Linked DNA regions of Drosophila melanogaster. The protein of the gene in region 2 purifies or fractionates together with the protein of the main gene of each other region. This does not show direct contact. Each region holds a gene or a part of one and is shown on either strand. Other genes may lie near its edges.

What was found.
Region 1: the proteins of CG7601 (region 2) and CG33253 purify together in Drosophila melanogaster (affinity purification with mass spectrometry, with the first as the bait; one large-scale study listed by BioGRID). This does not show direct contact.
Region 3: the proteins of CG7601 (region 2) and jagn purify together in Drosophila melanogaster (affinity purification with mass spectrometry, with the first as the bait; one large-scale study listed by BioGRID). This does not show direct contact.

Annotation. Positions count from the first base shown.
Region 1 is NC_004354.4:19,181,455-19,185,211, reverse strand, and holds the start of CG33253 (uncharacterized protein), read right to left. Parts: upstream 1,792-3,757; 5' UTR 1,668-1,791; coding exon 1,487-1,667; intron 747-1,486; exon of another isoform or gene 1-746.
Region 2 is NT_033777.3:29,734,934-29,738,690, forward strand, and holds CG7601 (uncharacterized protein), read right to left. Parts: upstream 1,813-3,757; 5' UTR 1,719-1,812; coding exon 1,557-1,718; intron 1,501-1,556; coding exon 1,357-1,500; intron 1,300-1,356; coding exon 1,083-1,299; intron 1,027-1,082; coding exon 781-1,026; intron 723-780; coding exon 511-722; 3' UTR 336-510; downstream 1-335. Other genes in the region: CIA30 (complex I intermediate-associated protein, 30 kDa), read left to right, coding at 2,111-2,584, 2,643-3,059. UniProt on the Drosophila melanogaster protein: Putative oxidoreductase.
Region 3 is NT_033777.3:5,777,391-5,781,147, forward strand, and holds the start of jagn (jagunal), read left to right. Parts: upstream 1-1,924; 5' UTR 1,925-2,037; coding exon 2,038-2,126; intron 2,127-2,409; coding exon 2,410-2,782; intron 2,783-2,844; coding exon 2,845-2,976; 3' UTR 2,977-3,757. UniProt on the Drosophila melanogaster protein: Required for endoplasmic reticulum organization and proper vesicular traffic during vitellogenesis. Required for oocyte and bristle growth.

The DNA.
Region 1 (3,757 bases), on a different chromosome or scaffold from region 2:
TGTTTGTTTGTTTACAATGAAAAGTGGCTTCGGTGATTTCGGTGATCGACCTGATTGTTTCAATTGCGCCAGCATATTCCACGATTGGTACTGTATTTTTTTTTGTTTTTGTTTTTGGGGCAATTAACTTGTACAAATTGCTTTTGATCTAGTACAAATGCCCAGGAGTTCCATAAATACCCAGCAACGGGGCTGCCTTTGCTTTTTATGCTCGACTAACTATGTACAACATGGCTGGGCATTTTTTTGTTTATGGCTATGGACCAGACATTGAATATGATCACTGATTTCCACATCTCCACAACTGGCCATGTTTGCGCCCGTGCCTGGCTGTTGCCCATTCCGGCGCTCTGTTTATCTCTCGAGTTTCGATCCGTACCATATACATATATCCGATCTGATCCGATCCGGTCCGCACCGATCATCTCTATTTATTTTCATATGTCGGCGCACAGTTTATATTGCATACTTCATAGGTGGTCGCGACGATCGATCGATGCATGGATACGATTCACTTGATTCACTCTGGTGATTCACTGACTCACCTCGCGCCTTGATTATGGTTTCGTATCGCATTAATCGCACATTTGGCCGATTTATGAATTATGCATTATGAATTATTCTGGAGCACTAGAGTTCTGTGGGGTGAGGTCATGTGTGTGGGTGCGGTGGGAAAATGTGAAAAACTATTTGTATCTGGCAGTCAATGTGCGTGTAGTTTTATGAGCTAAACAAATCGCCGAGCGAATTATTTGGTTATATGCATCTGGAAATCCGGTCCAGATATCAAGGAAGTCTTGCCACACACACACGACTGGGCCATCTGCGATCATTATTTCATTCACTTTTTAATCAGGCTACAAGTACTTTATTGTTTAGCTAAACAAGACAAAAAGACGCAAATGTTTTGGCAATAGAATGTTAATTGAATGAATGAATTAAAAGTAATCAATAGTAAGATTCTCACAATTGTTTCATTCAGCCTTTCCAGCAGATGTATATAGTTCATATATATCATTAAAACTTGTCGGACGATTAATATATATGTATATACCTTGTAGTAAAATTACTAGAATGTCTAAAGTTGAATTAGATGTTTATAATACTGCTATTGAAACAATTAAACTTAGTCCGTTTATTTAGAGTAACTCGTTACGTAAATATTATTTCTTTTGCATATCTTGATTAAGGTCATAAAAACTTTCGAATAAAAGTGCTCAAGTATTGTATATTTTCCGAATACCTCGCTGTTTGTTTTTCGGTTTCGATGAACATTAATTATACCATTGTTTATTTGGGTATATCACTTTTAGTTCGTTTTTAACAAGGCGCAACACAATTGAACATACCACTGATCATATTTTTAGACCTGATATGAATGAATGATTTTTTAAAAAGTTAATCCGCGATCAATGTTAAATGGAATATCCCATATCATATCATATCATATCATTAGATTCTTAACCCTTTTTTTCGCCATGCTTACAGGTCTTGAGTCCCTGGTAGGGCAGGGAGGGGGGCGGCGGGATGTGAACGGCGTGCTGCGAGGACTGGTGCTGCGGAGTGAGTGGGAAGGTCTCCGTGGAGGAGGAGGCCTGTATGCCACCCGATCCTGGCGATCCGACATGCAGGCGGGCGCGGTGCTGATGCGGCGAGGCAGGATGCATTGCAGCAGGACACGTTCTCGGATCGTATTGGATGGGAGGGATGCGATTTCCACTCCACGGGTATCAGACGTTAACTGGTCGAACTGGAGAACTGCACGCGTCCAGCGCACGTTTTGAAATGAGCACGCCAAGAACGAACACAAAGCCAAACGCAGAGGCGAAGACAGGAAGTATAAAACTATTCCACATACCAATCGGTGTCCCGACTGCTAGATACCATGTAAAAGTGCACTCTAATTTTGCATTTTCATATTTCATGCAAAGTGGAAATTCGAATTGGAATCAATCTCTTTGAAGTTTCCTTTCATATATTCTGAATATATACCAAAATCGTATAACAAAAATAATCTATAATCTTAATTTTTCTTTTAACAAGAACATTCAATTCACAATGGCATACTCAAAACGAAGCACCAATTATTATTTAAAATAAAAGTTTAATTATTAACTAATTATTATGTTGCATTGATCAATAAATTATTTGAATATTTAATATGAATAATTCCCTAACGTTTTTATATTTTTAATTAATTGCTGCTAAAACTTCTCAAATCTTTGATATATTACCAAATTGGTTAACGAATGTTTCATAAATGCATTATACCCTCTGGGTCCTACACTTTATTGGGTATCATAAACTGTATCCTAGACAGAGGTGAAAACGCTGGCAGCGGCAATCGTTCGGCTCATTTCACACATTTTCGTGGCCGAACGATTTTCCCGCTTTTCCGAATTTCCCGGCACACACTAACACGCACGCGGAATGGATCGTTTTGTTGGCAGTTTAGTTCTTTTTGTTTAAATTATTGAAACGATCCACGAACAACTTCGCAGATGGAGATCATTTATAAACCACTTCATCGAGAGCATTCGGCAGTTCCTCGCTTGTCTTCCATTATTTCATAGCTTGGTTGGAGGTTGCCCATTTGTAGGTGGGTGGGTTGGTGGCTGCATGGAGGCAGTTCCTCGTTCCCCATTTGTCTAAATCAAGACGCGAGGAACAGGCGCTGGTGATCTATTATCACCAAAGGTCACAGCTCCGGACGCACATCAATTGGTAGCCTCGAATCTCCAGGGAAATCTGGCCACTGGAGTCGATTGCGTGTTCCCAACCATAAAGCATAAATGAAGACATTAATGGGTTAACCAGAAGATTTAGTGCATGATATTTGAATTTGAACGGGGCTGGCAAGCATAAATCATGATTTACACTACCAAAATGAGTTTGGAAAAAAATTATTAAGGAATTAATTGAATTTGGGTTCTATTCGACTAACTACAATCCTGTATTATTTGTTATTTAAAATATCACATATATATATCTGTTTTTATCTAATTTCCTTTTAATTGATTGCTAACATTTCAATGAATTATTCAAAACCAAGTAATTAGCGTGACATTCAAGACTGCGGTTGTTTGCATTTTACAGAATAAGCAATTAGTTTTGTTTTAAAACGAGGAAAAACGATATCATAGAGGCACAAGTAGTGCCCGAGGCTCTTAATAAATAAACTTCATTTCCAAATATATCTTTTTTTTTTTAGCCTTGTTGCTTTATTGTAGTTGTTAAATTAATAACAATAAGAAATATGTATATATATATATATATATATTCATATTTATGTATATACACATGGTATGCAATAAATTTGCTTGTTTCAGGCCGATTGCTTGTGTTTTTGGTTTCTGCTGGTTTTTTTTTTTGAGTGAGTGCTGCTGCTTGGTTGCGTAAAGTAAATGCGAAGAAATCACCTCGAAGACCCGGCGATGGAGAATATCATGTGTAAAGGTGTATATAGAGCTGGTTCGTAAGGCACATTACGGCTAGATTGTGGATGCATCAAGTGATTGCTAATTGCGCTGATGTTGATGTTGATGGTTGATGGTTGAGAGTCCGCAGCCTTCGATGTACAGCAGCAGCCTAAGTAGATATATGTATATATAGGGTACATATAAGTGCCGGTATCAATTTTTGATTGCTAACAAATGCTTGACAATAATCCAAATGCTTAAACTTAAGAGTCCACTCGAATTTAGTGTTGAAAATCAGTTGGCTTTAAATTCAATTTGGCCGCTCGGAAGGGTATCCT
Region 2 (3,757 bases):
ATTTAGCTAAATGAATTATAAACACGTATGTACGTCTCCCGACTCCCCACGAAACCATCGTCTACCCCTAGTTAATGGCCAGTTTTAAATGTTGCCCAAGACCGCATCACCCATCCAAGAACCTAAATGAATAATATGTAATTTTGTCAATTAAGAAAAGAACGCGTAAATGTCTTTAAGAAATCGAATGAAACACAAACGAAATTAAGTGTATCGAACAAAACAAAAACCGAAGAGCAAAGAAGTGAATACTAGAATTTTACGATTAACATTTTTAAAGACGAGCGAACAACAAGCACATGTGTGACAATTCAGTTGTACTTTATGTTACGATTACTACAATACATTATTTATTAATCTTATCGTTAGGCAATAACACGAGTGTAACTAATTTTTAACCCAAACACACACATATGCGATACTTTATAATTTCCTCATTTTAAGCGAAATTCAATTAACAATAAAAATGAAACTAATACTTAAGGACGTGTGACTTAACATACTCTAAGCTCAAGTGGACTTTTTCTCAGCATTCTCCAGTTTGACGGCGCGCTTGGCCATGATCCAAAAGTAGAGACTCGGGCAAAGATGACGAAGATAGTAGGCGATCTTGGCCTGGACATCGCTGACAATAATGTCCGGTTCTTTGCGAAGAATGCACTGCAGAATGCGTTCTGCAAGTTTATCCGGTGACATGCCCTTGGCCGTGGTTTCATCCACTTCTGCAGACATGGAGATAGAAATTAGCTTTCATATGAATATAAAGGGTAAATCACTTACTGCCGTAACTGCTTCCCGATCCTGTCAATGCATTCAAGGACAGCTGGGTGCGTATGTAGCCAGGACTCACGCAGGACACGTTTATGTTCTTATTTGCCACCTCGGCTCGCAGGGAATCGGCAAAAGCCTGCATGGCATGTTTCGAGGCGGAATAGGCAGCCCTTTGGGGAATGGCAAACTTTCCCTGAACAGAGCTAATGAAGCATATGTGACCACTACCACGTTTCACCATCGAAGGAAGTAGAGCTAAGAATGCGTACAAGAGTAAGTTGACTTTCCGGGATAAAGGGTTTATTAGTTACCTTTGGTCAGGGCAACGCTGCCAAAGTAGTTAACCACCATCACCTTGAGATCCACATCCACTGCCGTGGATGCCACATCGGCTCGCACACTGATCCCTCCGTTGTTGATGAGTATGTCCACTTGGTTGTACACGGCCAGCACCCGGGTGACAAATTCTGGAATGGAGTTCAGTTCAGCCAGATCCAGGGGAAGCACTGTCGGCGGATAAGCGGGATCCTGAAATGGTTAGTGCATTATAATGCGAACCACATAACCTACGGGTCCCGAACTTACCACATCCAATGCGAGGAGGTCCTTCTTAACCCGCTCCAATTCCTGAGTGCGACGTGCCGCCAAAATAACCCTGCATCCAGCGCGGTAGAAGACGTGGGCCAGAGATTCGCCCAGGCCCGAACTGGCCCCCGTGATGAGCACCACCTGCAAATGGTTTACATAATTACCGGGCTAATCAGTCATTAAGTTAAACTCGTCACCTTGCCGGGCAATTGATTGCGGAATTTCTGGGCCTGGAATCGCTGCCAAATGTTGATGATGGCCAGTGGAAGTGCCACCGGCATCAGGACCGTGCCCAGCACCCAGTAAAGAACGTTCCAGTCGCTGCTGGGAGCACATTTGTCCATGTCCTGCACCTTCATTTTCCCAAACCGACGCGATTCGATGATCAAACCTTTGAACTCCAAGCCGAATGCAAAATGATTAGCAATGACAACAAAACCGGGATTGTCATTCACTGCGAATAAGGCACAGGGGAGCTTAGTTAAGAGGAAAGAAAATGAATTCTAAGTGTAAGGAAGAATACAAAAGTGAGCCACATGGGAAGTAATAATTATTGTAACATCAAGTGGGCAAAGTATGTAAGTTTGACTTTCATTATTACATTTCAACTGTGCTTATCTTCTATCGAATATCTACTGTGCACTGCTGTTTCGCTGAGAATGGCAACTGGGCCAGCTGATTATTGTTACGTTGTTTTGCTGCACAGGCTGCTAGAGAAATAAGATTTACTTCAACCTAAACCAATGCCACGATGAATAGTCTCCTGCGACAAGGACTCCGCCTGGGCTGCTGCCTTCCGGCTGTCCAGCAGCAAATCCACACCACCGCCGTGCACAGGACATTCTGGGAGCGCGAGAAAAAGTCCGGCTACAAGACCAAGCTGCCGGAACCCTCGAAGAAGCAGATGATCATGGACGGCTTGAGGGACCTCAAGGAGGAGATGAAGCTGTGGCGCCAGGAAGTCAAGGAGCAGTTCGAAAGTGATCCCATCCTGGTCTTCCGGCCGGGTGAAACGGATGTGGTGTTCGATTTCAAGGCGCCGGATGTGCTGGACAAGTGGACGGTGACCACCGATGCGGATCACGGCGAGGGCAAGAGTACTGCGACTCTGGAACTAAGTGCAGCCGGTGCTGGACTCTTCCATGGCCAAGTCAACTCGGATCACACCAAGGATGGCATTATCAAAAGGACGGGATATGCGAACATTCGCACGAAGAGAGTGCGGGTGAGTTTATTGTTGATTTCAAATTGGATGTAACGATACTAAGCCTCATTATCCTCAGAAATCCTTTAAGCGCGAGACCACCTATGACTGGACGCAGTACAACATGCTGGTCATGAAGGTGCGAGGCGATGGACGCAGCTACCTGATCAACCTGCATACCGAAGGCTACTTCGACCTGATGTGGAACGACATCTACCACTATGTTCTGTACACGCGCGGAGGTCCCCACTGGCAGATAGCGAAGATTCCCTTCTCCAAGTTCTTCCTGTCTTCCAAGGGACGTGTCCAGGATCGCCAGGGCGCCATACCGCTGAACAGGGTAACCCACTTCGGATTCTCCGTTGCCGCAAAGAAGGGAATGGATGGCCCGTTTGGCCTGGAAATAGACTATGTGGGTTTGGAGTACGATCCCAGTCACCGCGAGGAATTCGCCTACGAAATGTACCAGACTCCCAAATACATCGTGGCCACGTAACGTAACCGCCTTACGTTACGTTTGTGTTATTTAATTGTAGAAACGTACGAAGAGCAGTAAAGATTGGTTAGCAGAAACATGCACATTGCCTTTACATTTGGGAAATTCAATATTTATTAATATATATAAATAGTAAATTCACGAATTAAAATTTTTAGACCATCACTCATAGGCAGTTACAACTGTACCCTCAGCTGGTTATTGCTCTCTTTCCATCTCTATTTCTTTCTATATTTCTTTTGCTTTTGCAGAACCTTTCTCTTCGCAATCAGCTGTTTAAATGTTTACATTCACATCGCCGAATATTCAGGGTCATTTAAGCGTTGAAACCAGAGAACTGCAGCCCGCCACTCGCACTCTACGTCCACCCGATAAACACTCGGTACTCTAGGCACCCCGTTTTTTTTGACACCCTACTTGCGGCAACACAAAATACTCGAGTGTTTTACCGACGTTGTGTTTTTGTTACGAGTAAAAAAACCACCCGAGGCCTGCTGCGCAAGAGCCGTATGGGTGAGTGGACGCACAGTCAACGATCGGCCGCAGGTCATTTTTTGTATGCGGGCTGCAGTTCTCTGGTCATTTTTTGTACGCCTAAAATTTGTATGGGTGGAAGCGTGACGGGTATAAGAAATGAAGGGTAAAAGGGAATACCCAAGAAAATTTTTGTGCTCATGTCTTTGCTCTTTGATGGACTC
Region 3 (3,757 bases), about 24 Mb from region 2:
ATATAGCATTATTTGCCAAAAAAAAAAAATATATATATATATAATGGCAACATTCGAGGTGGAGGTCCCGGCCCCAAAAGTCATGAAATCTGCCGCGTATGTGTTTTCATTTTTGGCGAAAACAAAGAAAGACTCGGCGATGAAATGCAATTAATATGCAAGTGCCACTCATTGTGATGGTACTATTCTGGTCTATTACCTTATGGACCGAATCGCAATTATGGCGCAACTTCAACTTTGGACTCGAAAGTGTCAGCCACCGAGCTCAGCATAAATATTCGAGCGGAAATTATCAACAACTGACATTAAAATCGGAGCGGGAAAGACGCGACTTTCGGCCGGAGACGATCGCATGCGATGAAAACGCGTCCAAGTCGGAGGAATACCGCCGTAGAACTGATGACACACCCGGGCCGAATGCTCGACTTTTGTAGCGTAGCGAGCATAAAGAGAGTGCGTTGAAATGGGAAATTCATTATTTTATTTTTAAACGTCGTCGCCCTCTCTATTTTCGCAGATTGGCTTTTCCTCGCTTGTTTCTTGTTTCGTGGCAGATTGATTTATGGATTTCGGTGCAACAGGTGCTGGCCAGTTGACAGAGCGCCGAAAGTCCGCCGGACACACCCACTGCTTCCAATCTGGAAAACTGATTGGGACACAAAGCTGCATCCAATTTGCATAATCCCATCAAAGAGCACTTGCACCCAATTATGATAATTTCGGCTTGACGCACTAGGCATTATTGGCTTCGAAAAATTGGAACTGCAGTTCAAATTCAAAAACAAGGTACGGAGAAACTAAAACAAGAGGGAACGCTACAGGCGAGTTCCCCGACTATTAGATACTCCTTTCTCTGCTAGTGAAAGTTCAAACATGAATTTCAACATTTTCTGACATAGCAATAAAACTAAATTAATCTCTCTTATATATGTAGTTCCTGAGATCTCGACGTGCATACGGACGGACATGGCCAGTTCGATTCGGCTAGTGTTCCTTACCAATATATGCTTTATTGGCTCGAAAAACACTTCCTTTCACCTGATACATATTCGTTGAAAAAGGAATCTAGAATACTTCTTTTTTAATCTACGAGTAATATTTTTCATCGCGACCCGTTCATTAATCATTAATCATTACTAAATCTTACTAGTTCTGCCATTTGGTCTATAAGACATATTGGAATTGGAATGCAATTCAATTCATTTTAGTCTAGCGTTTGTACTTTTAGTAGAAATAATTCTCATATGGATGGAAGATTTCAATCGGAGTATTAAAACCAGCCCTCATTTTCTAAAATCGTGCAAAAAAGATATGAAAATTAAAGTATTAAGTGCCATTAATGCCATTAAGAATAGGTTTGGTTTTATTTTTCACCAGCCCACTTTTCAGATTAGCAATGCTAAACTCTCAGCATTACCTTTAAAAAATCGTTCTCATTTGCGACTAGTTCGAATATCTATCTACATTCTGCCGAAACTAACTAGAGAAAAACTGAAGTTCTACGTATGTAAGTATAACACATTTATTCTACACAGCATTAGCGAGGTTACACACCTAGCGAAGTCATCCTCCCAATTAAAATTTCCCTAAGCGGAGCTAGTCACCACGACCACATTGCCACTTTATTAAAACTAATAACTGTTTAATAACTGTAATAGAATAAGTTAAAATAATTAAATAATATGACTAATCACGTGTTGCTAATACAGTTAAAAGGCTAATTATTTAATTTAATTAATGTTTTGTAAACAGTTTCCATGCAGATGTATTAATAGTTTCCATGGCAGACTTTCTGAAAATGAACATTCTAAAACTTAGCGGAATTTCCCCTCTCTTTCTAACGGTTATTTGCTATGCTTTCAAGCGAAAGTAATCGATGGTAGCGAGGAGCGTATCGATGTGCGCCAGTTTTTTGGTGGCAGCGATGGTATCGCACACACATCGATTCTAGTGCCAGCCCTATTTTTTGTGCAATTATTTATTAAAAATAAGCAACGACGTGAGCGAACGACACGACCCACGAACGAAGGCAACGAAATGGCAACGCGCGGCGGACCAATGGTCGCGGGCACCGATGGCAACGACTTCGAGTTCAGGCAGCGCGTAGCTGGCACATATCAAATTAGGTTAATAACACTTCGTGCTATCGCCAGCTCTCAGCTACACTCGAAATTATCTAATTACTGGGGCGCCTGTGGCAGTAGATCCACCTGCAGGCGGCACCTACTGCAGCCGAATCGCAGGTGGCGTCCAGCCAGGGCGGCGGAGCACCCTGGAGCTGCTGCACCCACCCACTTGCTGCTGTAGGGGGCGGGTGGGCAAAGTGCCAGCTGGGCAGCATGTGCGCCCCAATATGGGGCTCACCCACACAGATCCGCCACTGAACGACCACTTTCTCTGCTCTTTTAGCCTGCTGAACAAGTCCAGGTTGAAGTACTGCATCTTCTTTCACGCCCTGCTGTTCTTCGTGATGCTGGCCAAGCTGACGTCGGACATTCTGGACCACCTGGATATCTTTGTGCTGGAGATCGAGGAGCTGGAGGTCCCACCGCCCCTGTGGTGGGAGTACGTGTGGGCCGCGTCGTTGCTCACCTCCTTCCTGGGCCTTTCGGCCGCCAGGGGCAACAAGGTGCGCGAAATGCAGAAGTATATGGTGGCCATACTGCTATTCGCCATCCTGCCACTCTTCTACTGCTTCGCCTACTACTTCTCGGACGTGTGGGAGTTCGCCACGCTGGACAAGTCGGTGGAGCTGGACGAGACAGACATCTTTGTGTGGCGCGTAAGTGGCTGGGCCAGTTAATCCCTCAAGAGCCGCCCTACTAAACCTCGGTTTTTCTACAGGGTTATCCGTACGGCGTCTTCTGGTATGCCTTCTGCTTTGTGGGCTTCCAGGTGCACGGATTTACGCTGTACTTCGCCTACAACCTGGTCAAGGCCTGGAAGGCCAGAACTGCCACGCGCAAGTTCCAGTAATCTAAATACTCGCCAAACTAGTAAACGCCGGAATGCAGGGCTAGTTGTAAATAATTTGGAAACTTGAAACTAACTCAAAACACTAGTGCACAAAAGCGTAATGAAACTATGGTAAACTAAAGTTATGCAGCTGTTAAGGTATCGCACACTTAGTCATACAGGAAGGGAAACATATGGTCGAAACTGAGCGAAGCGTCGGCGGTAAGGTTATTGTTAGTTGAAAGTTAGTTGATACCGTTTTCAAATTGATTAAATAGACTCTTATCCATATACACATGTACACCTATACACATAGACATACATATATACACACATACGCAGCCTTGTGAGGTCAACTAAAGACAAGAAGCAACTGAAGCCACCAAATTTCCCCGAGTCGGAATAAAAACTGAAAACCAACCTAGAGATCACTTCATTTTTGCTCACTTACATTTCGACGTGCCTCGTGTTTGTTAGAAACGTTTTATATATATATTTACACATGAAAATATGCGTACATCAGTTTATGTTTGCGTCCACGGATGGTTACTTCCTCGCCTAGTTGATAATTAGTTCACTTTTCTACAAATTTCGAAACCGTTTCATTTTTGCCAGTACGTTAATTTTGAATTTTATTCATCGAACCGCACAGTGCCATGCTTTAAGGCGTCTGGCCGGGTGCTGAACGTTTGAGAACTGCCCCAAACTATTTACAACCTTCTGTCACTGTTTACACACTACTATAAATAAGGATTGAAATGCAATTTGAGTGTTAAAGCAAAGTTCTTCAATTTCTGATCGT